Cricetulus griseus: one gene and its partner. The protein of the gene in region 2 interacts with the protein of the main gene of each other region in a pairwise test. Links are inferred from orthologs where the notes say so. Each region holds a gene or a part of one and is shown on either strand. Other genes may lie near its edges.

The links. The genes of interacting proteins can lie anywhere in the genome.
Region 1: the proteins of Kpna5 (region 2) and Anp32b interact in binary tests that used the Homo sapiens proteins (3 or more experiments, as listed by UniProt). The two-hybrid records come from large-scale screens. The link is inferred for Cricetulus griseus from reciprocal best matches to the Homo sapiens genes KPNA5 and ANP32B.

Annotation. Positions count from the first base shown.
Region 1 is NC_048595.1:96,951,486-96,958,822, forward strand, and holds part of Anp32b (acidic leucine-rich nuclear phosphoprotein 32 family member B), read right to left. Parts: intron 3,960-7,337; coding exon 3,731-3,959; intron 1,896-3,730; coding exon 1,771-1,895; intron 499-1,770; coding exon 429-498; intron 1-428. UniProt on the Homo sapiens protein: Multifunctional protein that is involved in the regulation of many processes including cell proliferation, apoptosis, cell cycle progression or transcription.
Region 2 is NC_048595.1:257,196,702-257,204,054, forward strand, and holds part of Kpna5 (importin subunit alpha-6), read right to left. Parts: intron 5,404-7,353; coding exon 5,325-5,403; intron 3,355-5,324; coding exon 3,229-3,354; intron 2,283-3,228; coding exon 2,155-2,282; intron 1-2,154. UniProt on the Homo sapiens protein: Functions in nuclear protein import as an adapter protein for nuclear receptor KPNB1. Binds specifically and directly to substrates containing either a simple or bipartite NLS motif.

The sequences.
Region 1 (7,337 bases), about 160 Mb from region 2:
TCTATGCCTGCTGCACCCATAAAGATGGACCATCAGTGTCAAGAAGACCAGCCAAGGGCACTTCATATGCTCATTGTGACCAAAGTCTAACAGAGCCATAATCTCAGAACTCTGAAAGCCAAAGCAGGAACATTGAGTTTAATTAAGACAAGTTGAACAAGTAAGATCTTGTAAAAAACAGAACAAAAAAACAAAATCCACACCTGACTTAGAAGCATTTTCACCACCACCCCCCCCACACACACACAGGGTTTCTCTGTGTTGCTTTGGAGCCTGTCCTGGAAACTCACTCTGGAGACCAGGCTGGCCTCGAAATCAAGAGGTTCACCTGCCTCTGCTTCCGGGGGGCGGGAGGCGTGCACCACCATCCCCCAGCTTTCATCTAATTTTTTGACTAAGAGAAAAGGAAGCATGTGCACCAGGCCCACCTTCATCCTCATCCTCATCCTCATCCTCTTCATCTTCATCAACTTCTCCATCATGCCCAAACTCTTCATCCTAAACACAGAGAACAGCTTAACATCACTGGATTCTGCTAAGACACACAGCTCAATCAACCAGTAAAGATGAAACCCTGGCAATCTAAGACCACTCAGTGGAACCCACAGATAAAACAGGAGAATCAAAAAAAAGTGAACAACTCTCAAAAGTTGTCCTATGTCTCCATGCAGGTCACGTTATGGGTGTGAACTCTCTCTCTCTCTCTCACACACACACACAAAGAAAATCAGGGTTGATGGCTCACAACTGTTAATCTAGCAATTGGATATGGTGGATTAGGAATTCAAGTCTAGCCTGAGCTACATAACACCCCCCCCCACCAATCCCTCATAAAAAATTAAATGGAAAGAGGGATATACTTTAAAACAGTTATAATAACACATTAGGGTGAAACTGTTATTTTTAGGTCGTTGGCTGCACAGAGATGCTATTTTTTTTTTTTAAATGAGCAAAATTCTGGAGAGATGGCTCAGAAGTTAAGTCTTGTATGTTCATTCAGAAGACCTACATTTGGTTCCCAGCACCACCTGCTAGCTGTAACTCCAGTCCTAGGAATCCAATGCTCTCTCTGACTTCAGAGGGTACCAGGAATGTATGTAATATATAGACATATATGTAAACAACTCATATACACACATTCAGGCACAGCCTGTATTTTTAGTGGTTGTTATCCTAACCACTAAAAAGGGATGGGGTGGACAGGTGGTCAAACATTTAGTCTATCATAAGCTACGAAGTGAGACCTCGGTTCAGTAAGTAAAATAAAATTATCCTTAAAATAGCAATGTTCAGAAGTAAGCAGTTCACCAGGTAAGCTTTAATTAGCATGCAACTTAAAACAGAAACCTCAATAAATGTTTTTAACACTGCAGTACTGGTTTGGACAGATTTTTCTCTGTTTGTGGTGTAGGGCTATAACCCAGGACCCTGTACAAACAATTTTGAAGACACAGTCTTGTTTAGCCTAGGCAGGTCTTGAACTTGAGACCTTCTGCTTCTGCCTCCCAGGTTCTGGGATTGTAGGCATAAAATACTTTACAAAACTCAGCTATCTACTCTTTCAATGTAGAACTTTGGACCACAACTCTACATAATTTCTTTGGTAACTTGAAAGGTAATTCAGACATTAAGTGCTATTATGTATCTAGGCAGCATTGAGTAGGCATATCCCATATTAAGACAAAAGCTGCCATTATCAGCCTTTGCCTGTCTTCCTACCACACCTCTTTGTCTTTACACTAACAGAAGGGAAGAAAACAGTCACATTACCTCCCCACTGACTTCATCTTCATCATCTTCTCCTTCTACATCTTCGTCTTCATCTTCATCCTCTTCTTCATCATCCTCCTCTTCTTCACCATCCTCATCTTCTTCTTCATCTTCATCTTCTCCTTCTGAAATAATCCAAAAGAGAAATTACTAAATCTGGGCATACTTTTAACCCCAGTACTTCAGAGGCAGAGGCAGGTGAATCTCTGGGGCCACACAGAGAAACGCTGTCTCAAAAAACCAAAAGAAAGGAAGAAATTACTGAATAACCTTGATGACCCACAGGGTTTAACTGGAAAAGGTCAAAGTTGGCTTACAATAAGTTGGTAGGCTCTACAAACACTAGGAAAGACTTAGAGCTACCCCCCCTTCTTAATCCCAAAGGAGTATCCTAAAATCAAGAAGTTTCAAATAATAATCTATATTCTTTTGTTTTGAGACAGGGTTTCTTTGTGGCTTTGGAGGCTGTCCAGGAACTAGCTCTTGAGGACTAGGCTGGTCTCGAACTCAGAGATCCACCTGCCTCTGCCTCCTGAGTGCTGGGATTAAAGGTGTGTGCTACAACCGCCCGGCCCATATTCTTACTGAATGAAATCTGCCTCAATTTCTACAGGAAGAGGGCTTTCTACTCCGGCCATGCCTGAAAAATCCAGGAGTTTATGACCAGCCCCAGCTACCCAAGACAGTCTCAACACCTGCTCCTCCAAACAAAAATGACAAGCCACTCTAGGAACAAGTACCTGATAGCAGCTGTGAAGTCAGGAACTCTTTAAGGCTTAAACCCTGGCCACAGAATAGTCTGGGCTCCTGGATCCCCAGTGCTGTCCCCTTCAAAAGCCTCCAGTTCACTGTGGGCTCCTGCCTGCTGTCCTTCCAGTTCCACCTGCCTATCCCCAGACTGACTTTCAGTCCCTACTTCCTTCCTGCCTCCTTCTGTCTCTCTCAGGCACTTGGTGCCTCTTCATTTCAGCACCCTTTGCTTGAGCTCCAGACGATTACAGTCTTGTCTTTTTTAATTTTTCTTTTGCTGTCCTCAAGAAAGAACTAAGGGCCTTCCACAAGTCAAGCAAGCCTTCTACTATTGAGCAACATATCCTCACCCTTGGGCTGTTTTGCTATCACAAGTGGCTAACTAAGGTATATAGCTCAATGGCAGAATGTGGTATTTACAGTGAACTTACAGAACTACAAATAACTTAGGAATAACTGGATATGGACACTTTGAATAGGGTGAACTGACCTACTCGGCTCACTATCCTCTTGTATCCCATTAATTTTGCCTGTCTCCAGCTGCTGCAAACTAACCCCCCTGTATAACTGTAACTAAGGACTTATGTCTTTCCTCCTTTGCTTTCTTGTACGTTTTCAAAAGTGCTAAACCACCACTCCTGGCTTTCAATTTCAAAGACTATCCAGATTCACTCAAAAAATATAAAGACACTTAAGCACATGAAAAACTTTTAATACTTTCATGAATAAAAAAGCAGAACCTAGTTGGGCAGTGGTAGCACACGCCTTTAATCTCAGCACTCAGGAGGCAGAGGCAGACAGATCTCTGTGAGTTCCAGACCAGCCTCATAGCCTCCAAAGCCACACAGAAACCCTGTCTTGAACACCCCCCCCCCCAAGCAGAACCTAAGATAATGTGCCTTGAAGTTTGTGGGCCAGGCACTGAACTAGGAAGGACAGTAAGCAGAGCCAAGGAAGGGATGACAGAACAAGCTCTTCAAGCATACAAAGGACTTGCATGAAGCAGCCACTGAACACTTGGCTCCACAGAAAAATAAAAAAAAAAAACCCTGGGGCTAATAAAGCCATTTGATTTTCAAGGATTTTAGGGTTAAAAGCCCGAAGAGTTTATAGAACGAAACAGGAACACAGGCGCACACACACTGAGCAGAATCACTGCCAGGGCTCTAGAAAGACAGAAGTCAGGTCACAAGATACCCAGTTTACTCACCTTCATCCTCTTCCTCCTTGTCCACACCATCCACCTCGGCATCGGAGTCGGGGGCTTCCTCTACACCATCCACCTCCACATCCGAGTCAGGTGCTTCCTGGTCCTCCCGGTCATAGCCATCCAGATAGGACAACTGGGGCAGGAGCTTAAAGACACTCTCCCGATAATCATTCAAATTAGTGACCTCACAGCCAAACAGATCCAAACTTTTAAGACAATCCAGCTTTTTCTAAAAGAAAGAACCAAAAAACACAATTCCTAAATCAAAAGAACAAGTTACCAAACCACTTTCAAGAGGTAAAAGTCTAAGCTCCATATTAGTTGCTACCCATTCATCCCTGTACACAGGAACACACTATGCTTCTGGCTCCCCTAGAAAACAATGTCTTTTCCCGGTAGCAACAGGAGTCTAAGTGTGATCTAGCTGAAATGTACCCAGGGCCCACCCATGAGCAGCACTGGAGGATGGAGTGAAACCTGGCACGAGGTATGCCAGCCTGGGCAGAAGGGTACCCAAGAGCTTAAATTTCACCAACAGAGAAACCTCACACTCCTTTTGTCTCTTTTAAGATCTTTGGAAGAGGTTAACATTACCAGACTTCTCTAAAGTAAACTTAAGGCATTGTCAAATACAGTATGCTACCTTCTAAAATAGTACAAATAGCCTACTACAGTACAGGTGACTTTCTTACATGTGTGTACACAGACAGATACACATTCAACTTTTATTAATTCTAAAAATTAAAAGTTTGGTCCTCTTACAAAACTAAACAACAACAACAACAAAATCAATATGGGGACAAGGAAGTAGCTCATTTGATAGTTTGCCCAGAGCCATGGATTTGATCCCCAGTACCACGTAAACCAAGTGTGGTAGGGCAGGCCTGTGATCTCAGCACACAGGAGGCTAAACGATCATAAAGTCAAAGTCATTGTCAGCTACATGAGACCCCCCCTACACACACTCAAAAGGCTCTGGATGAAGCAAGTTTTAACAAATCTAACAATGACACTTCACACAACATAGAAGAAACTTGGATCCAAAGAACTTTGTTTCAGGACTGAAGGCATCTCTGTAATTCTCTGCTTTCAAGGTTGGTTTTAAAAGGGGCTAATCTGGCTCAATAACTAATTTTGTAAACTAAAGCTTTGTTTCTAAGACAGGGTCTCTCTATATGGCCCCGACTGGCCCCAAACCAAGTCTGCACCTGTCTCCCAAGTGCTAGGAGCAAAGGCAGGCGCCACAATGCCCAGCTAAAACCAAGTTTTACTGGCACACAACACTCATCTGCTCATCTATCACACACCTCCTCTCAGACTATACTGACAGTTGAGGAGCTATGATACAGACTACTGCCAACCAAGCTTCATGTTTGCATTATCTGACCCTCAAGGAAAGGGCTGTTGACCCTTACAGAAGACTCTTCATCCCCTCACCAGGAAAAGGCTTACATAAGCTTTATTGCCAAGAGTAGTCTCTGGAACACAGAACCAGGGAAAACCCAGCAACAGGGTTATAGACAGATGTCATACCCACAATCGAACACACAATGTACAATGCTTTAAGAGTGCTTACGAAAGCCAGCTCTCAGATGTCTCGGGAAGGCAGGCTCAGCCCTGCCAGTTCTAGGGGTGGCTGATTTTCTAGCAGGCGACTTTCAGATTAGGTTTCCTACTGGGCAGGCCATGACCTTAGAAACCCAGGTATGATTTCTTGCCAAAGAGGAAAAAATGCTGTAACAGCATCCCAAATAACCAGCACAGGTTGTTTACTAGCTTTCTTTTTGGAGACAGAGCCTTTTTATATTGCCCAGGTTGTCCTAAAACTCCCGACCCCCCTCCCCCGTCAATCTCAATCTTAAGATCTAAGAGTTCTATACCATACCTGGCTATAGTAAGAGCCGACTCTATTCCAAGTAAGACATAAAAGGAAAATCAATTTACACAGCTTCCTACAAAAGTTTACTCTAATGTGCTCCTCCCTTTTCTGAAGTGTATGTCTCACCACGAAGCCTTTGTCTCAGTCCTCTTGCTTTGGCCCCTCGGGTAGCTGGGACGACGTTATACATCACGATCCCTGGATTGCCTAAAATTATTTACCCAGTGGAGTGGGCCACTGGTGAAACTACTTTACAGGGCCACCGAGGAAATCCTGTTTCTGAACAGCATTGATCTTAGATGTTTGACAAAGCACCCATTATCAAATAATTTGGACATGCCAAACAGTATAGTAGGAAATCAAATATAAGCAAGTTAACAGTAACAAACCCAACAGAAGTACAGCACTCTGCAGATTGTTTAAAGCAGTAAAATTGTACTTACAGCCCAGCAGGCTCAAAATACAGATTATACAGGATCTCAATGTGATATGTAAAACCCTGCTGAAAACTTAACAACTGTACCACGTCAGAAACTTGACCTAAGCTAATAGGCTAGCCATAATAAACATTAAACATTTTTATTAACAATAATATTGCTTGCCTTCTTAGAATTTAGAAGGGCTTTGGGGGATGATTTGGATGGCCCAGGTCTCTTAAAAAACGTGTCCCAGGAAGTTTGAACTGATGCCTTCTTTGTCTCTCGTTAATGTCCCTGTAGCAAGCAGAGGCATTCACAATCATTGCATTGCCTGTCAAAACTGGGCTCAACGCAGTGTTCACAATGTGTGGTGATGAGGATGAGGATGGTGTTTTCCCCACTCTAGAACATTCACAAGTCAAAAATGGATCTAGAGTCTCCCCCACTAAACCTTTCCTACAGATTTCCTTTATTCTAGGTGAGAAACATGAGGCCAACCTAGCTCATGCTTTTCCAAGCAGCTTTGGGAGTACCGAGCCATGGTAGCTCTGCCAGTTATGTCGGAGCATCATCTAAGCCTTAGTTCCCTCAATGTAAAATAAGGGCCATACTATTTCTATTCACTTTGTAGAGACGTTTTTTAACAACTACCATAGGCTCTACAGGGCACCATTATAGCACACCCACTACAGTAGTACAAGCATAACAACAAAGATTACACACTTCTCTTTCACTGTCTTGGGACCCTACTCTCTTACAGCCCAGAACAGGAACACTCAAGCAAACAATCCATGCACAGTATTTGTCTGTGCTCTGCCTCAGTGCTAATAACATTGACACAGGATTCCCAGAGGATTCAGCCTCCAAGACAACCAGCTGGTTATCAGCAAGGAAAGATACTCTCCGTTTAAAACACACACCCCCACACCCACCCCTATATAAGGGGTGCTAGTCCTCAGCTTGGCACAGCCCAGAATAAAGAGATCTGGCACCAAGCAATAAACACAGGGTTGGCACAAGACCATGGGGAAGTGTGTCAGTGTCAGTATTTCTCTGGGAATTTGATTTTCCTGAAATTTAGGTATAGACTCAATTTACATGTAGAAAGAAAACAGGTCCCAAGGGCAATGGAAAATTAATTGAATTTGGATTTGATCCTGCCATTAATTCCAAATAATTACTTAAGCTTTCTAAACTCAGTTTCCTCTTTAAACAGGACAGCCATTCTTTTCTTCTCTGGGTTACAAGTCTACAATGAACAATTATTAAATGTCCTTGGATACAGCAAAACGCAGGGCATTATCTGTAA
Region 2 (7,353 bases):
GCACTATTACTACCTACTTTCCGCTTCTTCTTATAAAAATAAAGTGATTTTTCTTTTGTTTGACAAAGAATTCATACGAACCACAAAGTGTAAAAACAGGCTTTGAAACCAGATTGCATGCTTTTAAATCCCCATTCCATTTCTAATTAGTTATGTAACTTTGAGCAACTGCTCTCTACCTCAGTTTCCCAACAGGAAGTATTTTTCAAAAGTTTCAGCTCCTTTGGAAAAGGAGTGTGTGGGGGCAGGGGCACTTAGCACTTGCTGTGCAAGGGTTACCTGAGTTCATTCTTGGAACTCACAAAAAGAAAACTGACACTAAAGTGTCATTCTCTGGCTTCCACATCTGCACTGGGGCACATACCCACACATGAAAAAAAGAAGGTATGCACTCAACTTCCAAGTAACTGATCAAAAACATTTTTGAATGAATAATTATCTCATGGGTATAAAAATATAAAAATACCTGGTGTAACCAAAATGACTTAGCCACCTGAACAATAACTGGCAATAGTCAACACAACTGTTGAGGTATGCATGCTGAATCTAATCTGAGATTAAGACATTTTCTTCCTGTATATGTGATTACTTTCAGATTGACACAGATAAAAAGAACAGTAGTAATAAAAAAAGACATAACAAAGACTTCTACTACTGCTTATATTTATGACACAATATAAAGGAAATACTAATTAAAATAATAAGGGAGAACAGAAAAGCAGCAGACACAGGTGATATCTCTATACACAAATACAAAGGTGACAGTATCTATGAAGGTAATGAAAGACAATGGTCTATCGAGGTGCAGTGGCACATTATAGCTCCAGCACTTGGAAGCCTGGCCAGGGAAATAATGAGAATAAGTTACAAAAAGAAAAGGTGGATAATGAAAATACCTGTTAGCATAATAGAGTTACAGATGACTTATTTTAAAATATTTTCCCCCAAAGGGCATACTAGTACACACCTTTATTCCCAACAATCAGGAGGCAAAAGCCAATAAATGTCTCTGAGTTCAAGGCCAGCCTGGTCTATATAGTAAATTCCAGATAAGCCATAGCAACACAGTGAGATCATGTCTCAATACACACACACACACACACACACACACACACACACACACACACTTACACACATATACATGTATGTATACATATATTGTCAAATATTGTACTATTTTATAAGAAAGGTGTATGGCACTAAAAAAGGCAGACAATGGTATGAATTTGTCTCTAAAAATATAAGAAACAAACAAGATAATGATCTAACATTTGGTAGACTTAAAAATCCTTTGGTTCATTAAAATAGCATCATAATTTGACTAATTTTATACGTTTTTAAGAGTTATATATTCATTAGAAACTGTTTCTTAAATAGTGACTTCAAGTTTTGTGAAGGGCATAAGAATGAGATTATGTAGAGAAGTCAAGCTTATTTGAGGTACAATGTGTGTCTTTGCTGTAGACTGAAGATATACGATACAAAAAGACTGAAATCAATACTTGAAAATGACAATTCCAAAAGACACCAGTACTTTATTCTACTTGAGAACCTAATGCTCATTAAGCACTGTGCTGTGCATGTGAAGTGCATACATTTCACTTTTGATATGGTTACTCAATTCATTAGCAAGAAGAAACTGGACTAGAAAGGTTAAATGACTCTGTCAAAATTGATCCTGTCACAAGTTTTACTGAAGGAGCAGGACTTGACCAGGACTTGGCCAGGCTTACTTAAAATCATGTATCAACTATGAATGCGGTCAGTATTATACATAATAAAAGGCATAGATTAGAAAACCTAGTACAGAAGGAAAAAGACAAGTAGTGCACAGAAGTATTACCCTATCTGCTGGCAAGGCAACAGTCAATAAGGAGAGAGCACAATGAACAAATGCATACTTTTATTTTACTTTAAACAAGTTGATATTCATATCTGTTACTTCTATATAATAGCTAATTAATTTTAATGCTTAAAACATATCTAATGCTCATGACAGTATATTCTGCTAATCAACAAATTCTTCCTATTTGAAATTCTAATCTCTGTATATCAAACAGACATAAAAATGTTAGTTTCACCAATAAATAAAAATGTTTTTTTCATACTGTCTGACTGGTATTTAAAAGACAATGTTAAAGAATCGGAATCCACCTTATTTGCTCTGGAGTGCCTCCCGATGTGGCATTAGTTATAGCCCACGCTGCTTCTTTTCTGGTACGAAATTCTGCTTTCTGGAGAACCTCGATCAAAACAGGGAAAATACTTGCATCTATGACAGCCTAAGAAGAAAAAATGATCCAACACAATTAGTGCAAATACTGTTTCAGAACTGCCACATGGGCACTTCAAGAGTAAGGCTTTAAAGAGTGAGTGTGCTGGAGGATGGCTCGGCAGTTACAAGCACTTGTTGCTCTCTGCAGAGGACCTGGGTTGGGTTGGTAGCAACCACATTAGGTGCTCACAATGACCTGTACCTCCAGTTCCAGGGGATCAGATACCCTGGCTGCCACAAGACCTGTACACTTTGTGCTTTCCATAACTCACACAGGCACACAAGCATACACACAATTTTAAAAATCTTAAAATGTGAGAGGGTTTAGAAAGATTCTGTTTGTCATCTGTCAACACTTTAATTGATTTCTTTTGTAAAAAGAAATGAGCTTTTTTTTTTTAAAGATTGGAGAATGCATCAGTAAAAATACACATCAAAGGTGATTAACTGTAGGCATGTGATTAACCAAATGGGTAAGTATTCTTTGGCTCAAGAAACTTGACAGAACCTAATAAACACTGAAAGCCATCTGAAAGACAATTCCCAACATTTAAAACTGATGGAACCCTGCCCAGACAGGGTCTCCCCATGCAGTTCATTTGGGCCTCAAAAATCATCATCCTGACTCAGTCTAGTTTAAATCTTATGCTACACCTTTTTTAAAAATCTTTTTTCCCCTCAGACAAGGTGTCCCTGTATAGCCCATTTGGCCTCAAAATCACAATCTTCTGCTTCAGCCTTTTAAGTACCAGTATGAGCCACTGTGCTCAGCAGAAACCATCTATTTCTCAAGACTAATTTCATGTATCAGATACTTTTATATATGTAATTATTGTTCCTCACTAGAATACAAAACACAAATGGTATTATTTAGAGAAGAAAAGGCCATGTTGAACGCCAGGCATCTCAGCTTAGACCTTCCTATTGTAATCTCAACTCTGAAAGGCGATTACCTGGATCTGAGCTCTGTTTCCCGCAGTGATGTTAGAAATGGTCCAGCAGGCTTCCTTTCTAATTGACTCCTTTGGACTACCCAACAAGTGCAAGAGGCAGGGCAATGCAGAACAATTCAAAATGACCTAAATGGGTAAAACAGAAAAAAAGGGTTTTAGTATAAATGCAAACTTCTTATGAATTACTGAAGTACAGAAATCAATCTGAAAAACAAAGAAATAAATTCCTCTGGAGGTGAAATTTAGGCAACTGCTAACTTGTACACCCTGCTGCTAGAAAGCTTATGTAGTGCTAATGCAGTTCTCCACTAGAGTGTGAATCAGAGACATGTTCTTCAAATATACAAATTAAAGTAATACAACTATAGCACTATCAGCACAGATTATGTTTTGAATCAAGTAGGGGAGTCTTGAAACTCAAGACTTTGAAAAAGTTATGATTTCTGGTCATACCCATAGAAATATCTGCAAAATTCAACTTAGAAAATTACTTGAAGAATGACTTTGTGATGGAAGAGAGGGTTTAACCTCATTTTCATAACAAATTACTAAATGATATTCTTTCTCATACACATTTCTACAGCATTATAAAAATTTTGAAGTAAAGAATAAATCTGTACTGTTTTTAGAATGTGGTTTTTATAATGAAGTATTGCGTGGCACATGCCTTTAATCCCAGTATTTAAAAAGCAGAGACAAGTAGGTTTCTATGAGTTCAAAGCCAGTCAGAGCTCCTACTGAGATGCTGTCTCTGACAAAACCAACTGGCATAAGTATTGTCTACTTTGTCCTTTATTCACAATCATCCACAATTTTCGATTTAGTGAGGGTGAAAGGGATGCAGCATCAGTGCCTTGAAAATTTAGCTGGTAAGTGCAGTGTATTCCAATATAGAGAGCTACCCTTAAATGCTTACTCATTTAACAACTTTGGTGAGTATCAAAATAGAACACTAGTCAACATCTGGAGTCAATCTTAACATCTTACCATTCTCCCAAAACAGGCATGGGTGCACAGTTTATCACCAATTCTGGAACCATTTCCTTGCTATCTTCCCTTTGGTCTCATAATCTGATTCTTATGTCCTATAACCTACATATAATAAATCACAACTTCTAGCTAAGTTCTTAAATATACCTCAATTTATCTGCCTTTCTCCTTATAACGGTAAATCTTGTCTCATCTGCTGAAGTACTACTCTACTTATTTATAATTCCACTTATCTACAGAAATTACAGACCTCATCATACTCATCTTTTTTTTTTTTATAAACTTTTAAAGCACTTACTGGATGATCAGCTCGTAGCACATGCATTGCCTTGTTAGTCTGCCTTGTTTTGGGTCTCAAGCTCTACTGATTGAGTTAGCTGGGCACTTTGCTTTATTTCAATGACTTCTACCTAGCTAAGATTCTGAATCCAAACATTAGGCAGACAGAGAGCCCAGGTTGGAGGTCTCCATCAGGTCCCTCCCTATGGAGCTTGCCCTACTGAAAAAGGGTAGGAGGAATTATGGGAGCCAGAGAGACTGAGCACACCACGAGAACACAGTCCAAAAGGCATGGGGGTCAACTAAGCAGGGTTCATGGTAACCTACAGAGACTGAAGTAGCAATCACAGAGCCTGCATGAGTCTGTGCTAGGTCCTGTGCATTGGTTGCTGGCTTGGTGTTTTAAAGGGACACCTGACAGTGGGAGTGGGGGTGTTTCTGACTTTTTTGCCTGTTCCTCAAACCCTTTTCCTACTACTGGGTTGCCTAACCTAGCCTTGATGTGAGGGTTACCTGGCCTTATTGCACTTGTCATGCCATGTCCAGCTGATGTCCCTGGGGGAGTGGAGGGAGGGGAAGCTGCAGTCAGGGTGTATTGTACAAGAGAAGACCAAATTAAAAAGGTTCTGAAACCTCTGAGCAGAACACTTGGTATATTTTGGCTGATGGGGCTCTATGATAGTACCATCCCAATAAGGTAACTGAAGTTGAAAACTGTGCTTACTGCCACAGATGCCTGTATAGTTATAGTAATAAGGCCTTGATGAATATAAAATCAAGTGACATGAAACAATCATCTAACAGTGTGCTGTAAATTCTGAACTCACCTGTGTTTGAATATCGTCACCAGTCACAATATTACCAACTGCTCTTAATGCAGGTGATACAACTTTATAGTCATTGTGCCTAAAAATAAAAATATGAGCTTTTACATCAATAAGGTAAAATCTATATAAAGTTGAAAAAATTATAGACAACTTTCATTTTCTTCACTCAGAGCTCCTACTCAATTTTCACTTACTAATATTTGAAAAAGCAAAAAAATCTAAAGCAGTATCAAACACTATATAACCTCATTATATCTTATTGGGTGACATATTGTATATACTCTGTCTCATTATTGTGGTACTAAACTCTGTACTAATTAAGATTGATATGTTATTCTTCACTATTCCAATTTCTCCTTTATACTCAGTATTTGATGACTATTTGAGACCATGTAAAAATCCCATTCTTTAGCCTATTTACTTTATTTTAGAAATCATAATTACAACACTCCTCCCTTACCTTTTTTCCCTCCAAGTCCTCCCACATACCCCCTTCCTCTGTTCTTCAAATTCATGGTCTCTTTTTCCACAACATGGTCTCTTGTTACTGAATGTATATCTACACACATATATATTCCTAAATATAACTTTTCAGTCCACATAATGTTACTTACATGTATATTTTCAGGAATGAACCCATCCCGTACACTAGTGTTAGTATCTATATGCTCATTATCTGAATTAGTAATTATTTGTATTTTTAATAATCATTTTGCAAAACTATCATCTCCATCATACGCCTTGCCTATCTATTGATCCATCCACATATTTTAATGTGGACTCTTGGGTTGTTGCTATTCACTAATTTATAATAATACATTACTGTAATTTATTTCCAAGCTCATTATTTTCTGTGTTCATCTCATTTTTCCTCATTCTAATCCAATAATTTCTCTAAGAAAGCTACTTCCCTTAAATGAGCAGTGATATTTAGAAACCAAGGGTTGTGCCCTCAGAGCGCTCACCTTATTTCTAGAGAGGTGTCCCTCTTCCAAAAGCCTTAATGCACATGTATACAAGTGTACGTAAAAAGGTCCTTATTTTGAAAGCAGTGAGTTTATAGTGAGAGATTTAATTCTAATCTAACATCAAAGGCCTTTTCCCTTCACGACTAGAAGCCAGTTACTTTAGTTCACATCCTCCTACATATCGATAATTTAACAAGAGAGGCTACCAGGCCATGAGTTTTGGCTCTGAACCTTGTTCTGGCCTGCTTGGCTGCCCACTCTGGTAGAAGTCATTCTCAAGCTAAGGCCTTGACCATCCCACTGCATCTGTCTAGCTCACACTGGAAATCAGCCCTTTAACACAACTCTATTTTTTGTGCCATCTGCCACACTTGGACTAACTAAAGGCCTTTTGTTTTTATTTTGTTCTCAGAGTCAGGGTCTCACTATGTAGCTCTGGCTGGTCTGGAACTTGCTGTGCCTGAATCTCAGAGATCCACCTGCCCCTGCCTCAAGTGCTGGAACTAAAGGCATAAACTACCATGCCTGGTTTACTACCAATGGCTTTTTGACAAAACAAAAACAATTTTAAAGAAGGTTGGAGGATAAAGAAACTACAGCACCTTTTTAAACAAAATTTTCTTTTAATTTCTTTGCATGGAAAAACTGGGATTTTTCAACAATGGTAGTAATGATTATCCAGTAAGAGAAAGATCATGGAGACACTAAATAAATTTTCTAGCTTTATATACAAGTTAATTATTGTAAAGAATAATAAACTAGGCTATTGGTTCTGTAAAAACAATAACTGTTTTCTCTCCCTAATAACATTCACATGTCACCTTTGGTGCTAACAGACATTCTACATATGTTTGTTAAGTTAAGGCTTCTTCATAAAGAAAAGTTTCATTCATACAGAGATTAATTTACAAAATAATTCCCTTGTACTTCAGAAATGTTTATTGATGGACCAGTATTTAAGGATTATAGCTACTCTATAAAGGGCAGAGTTAGTAACTTTTCAATTCTTCCTATAGATGTTGACATTTTGAAATATTTAAGGACATGATCTTAACTGTTAA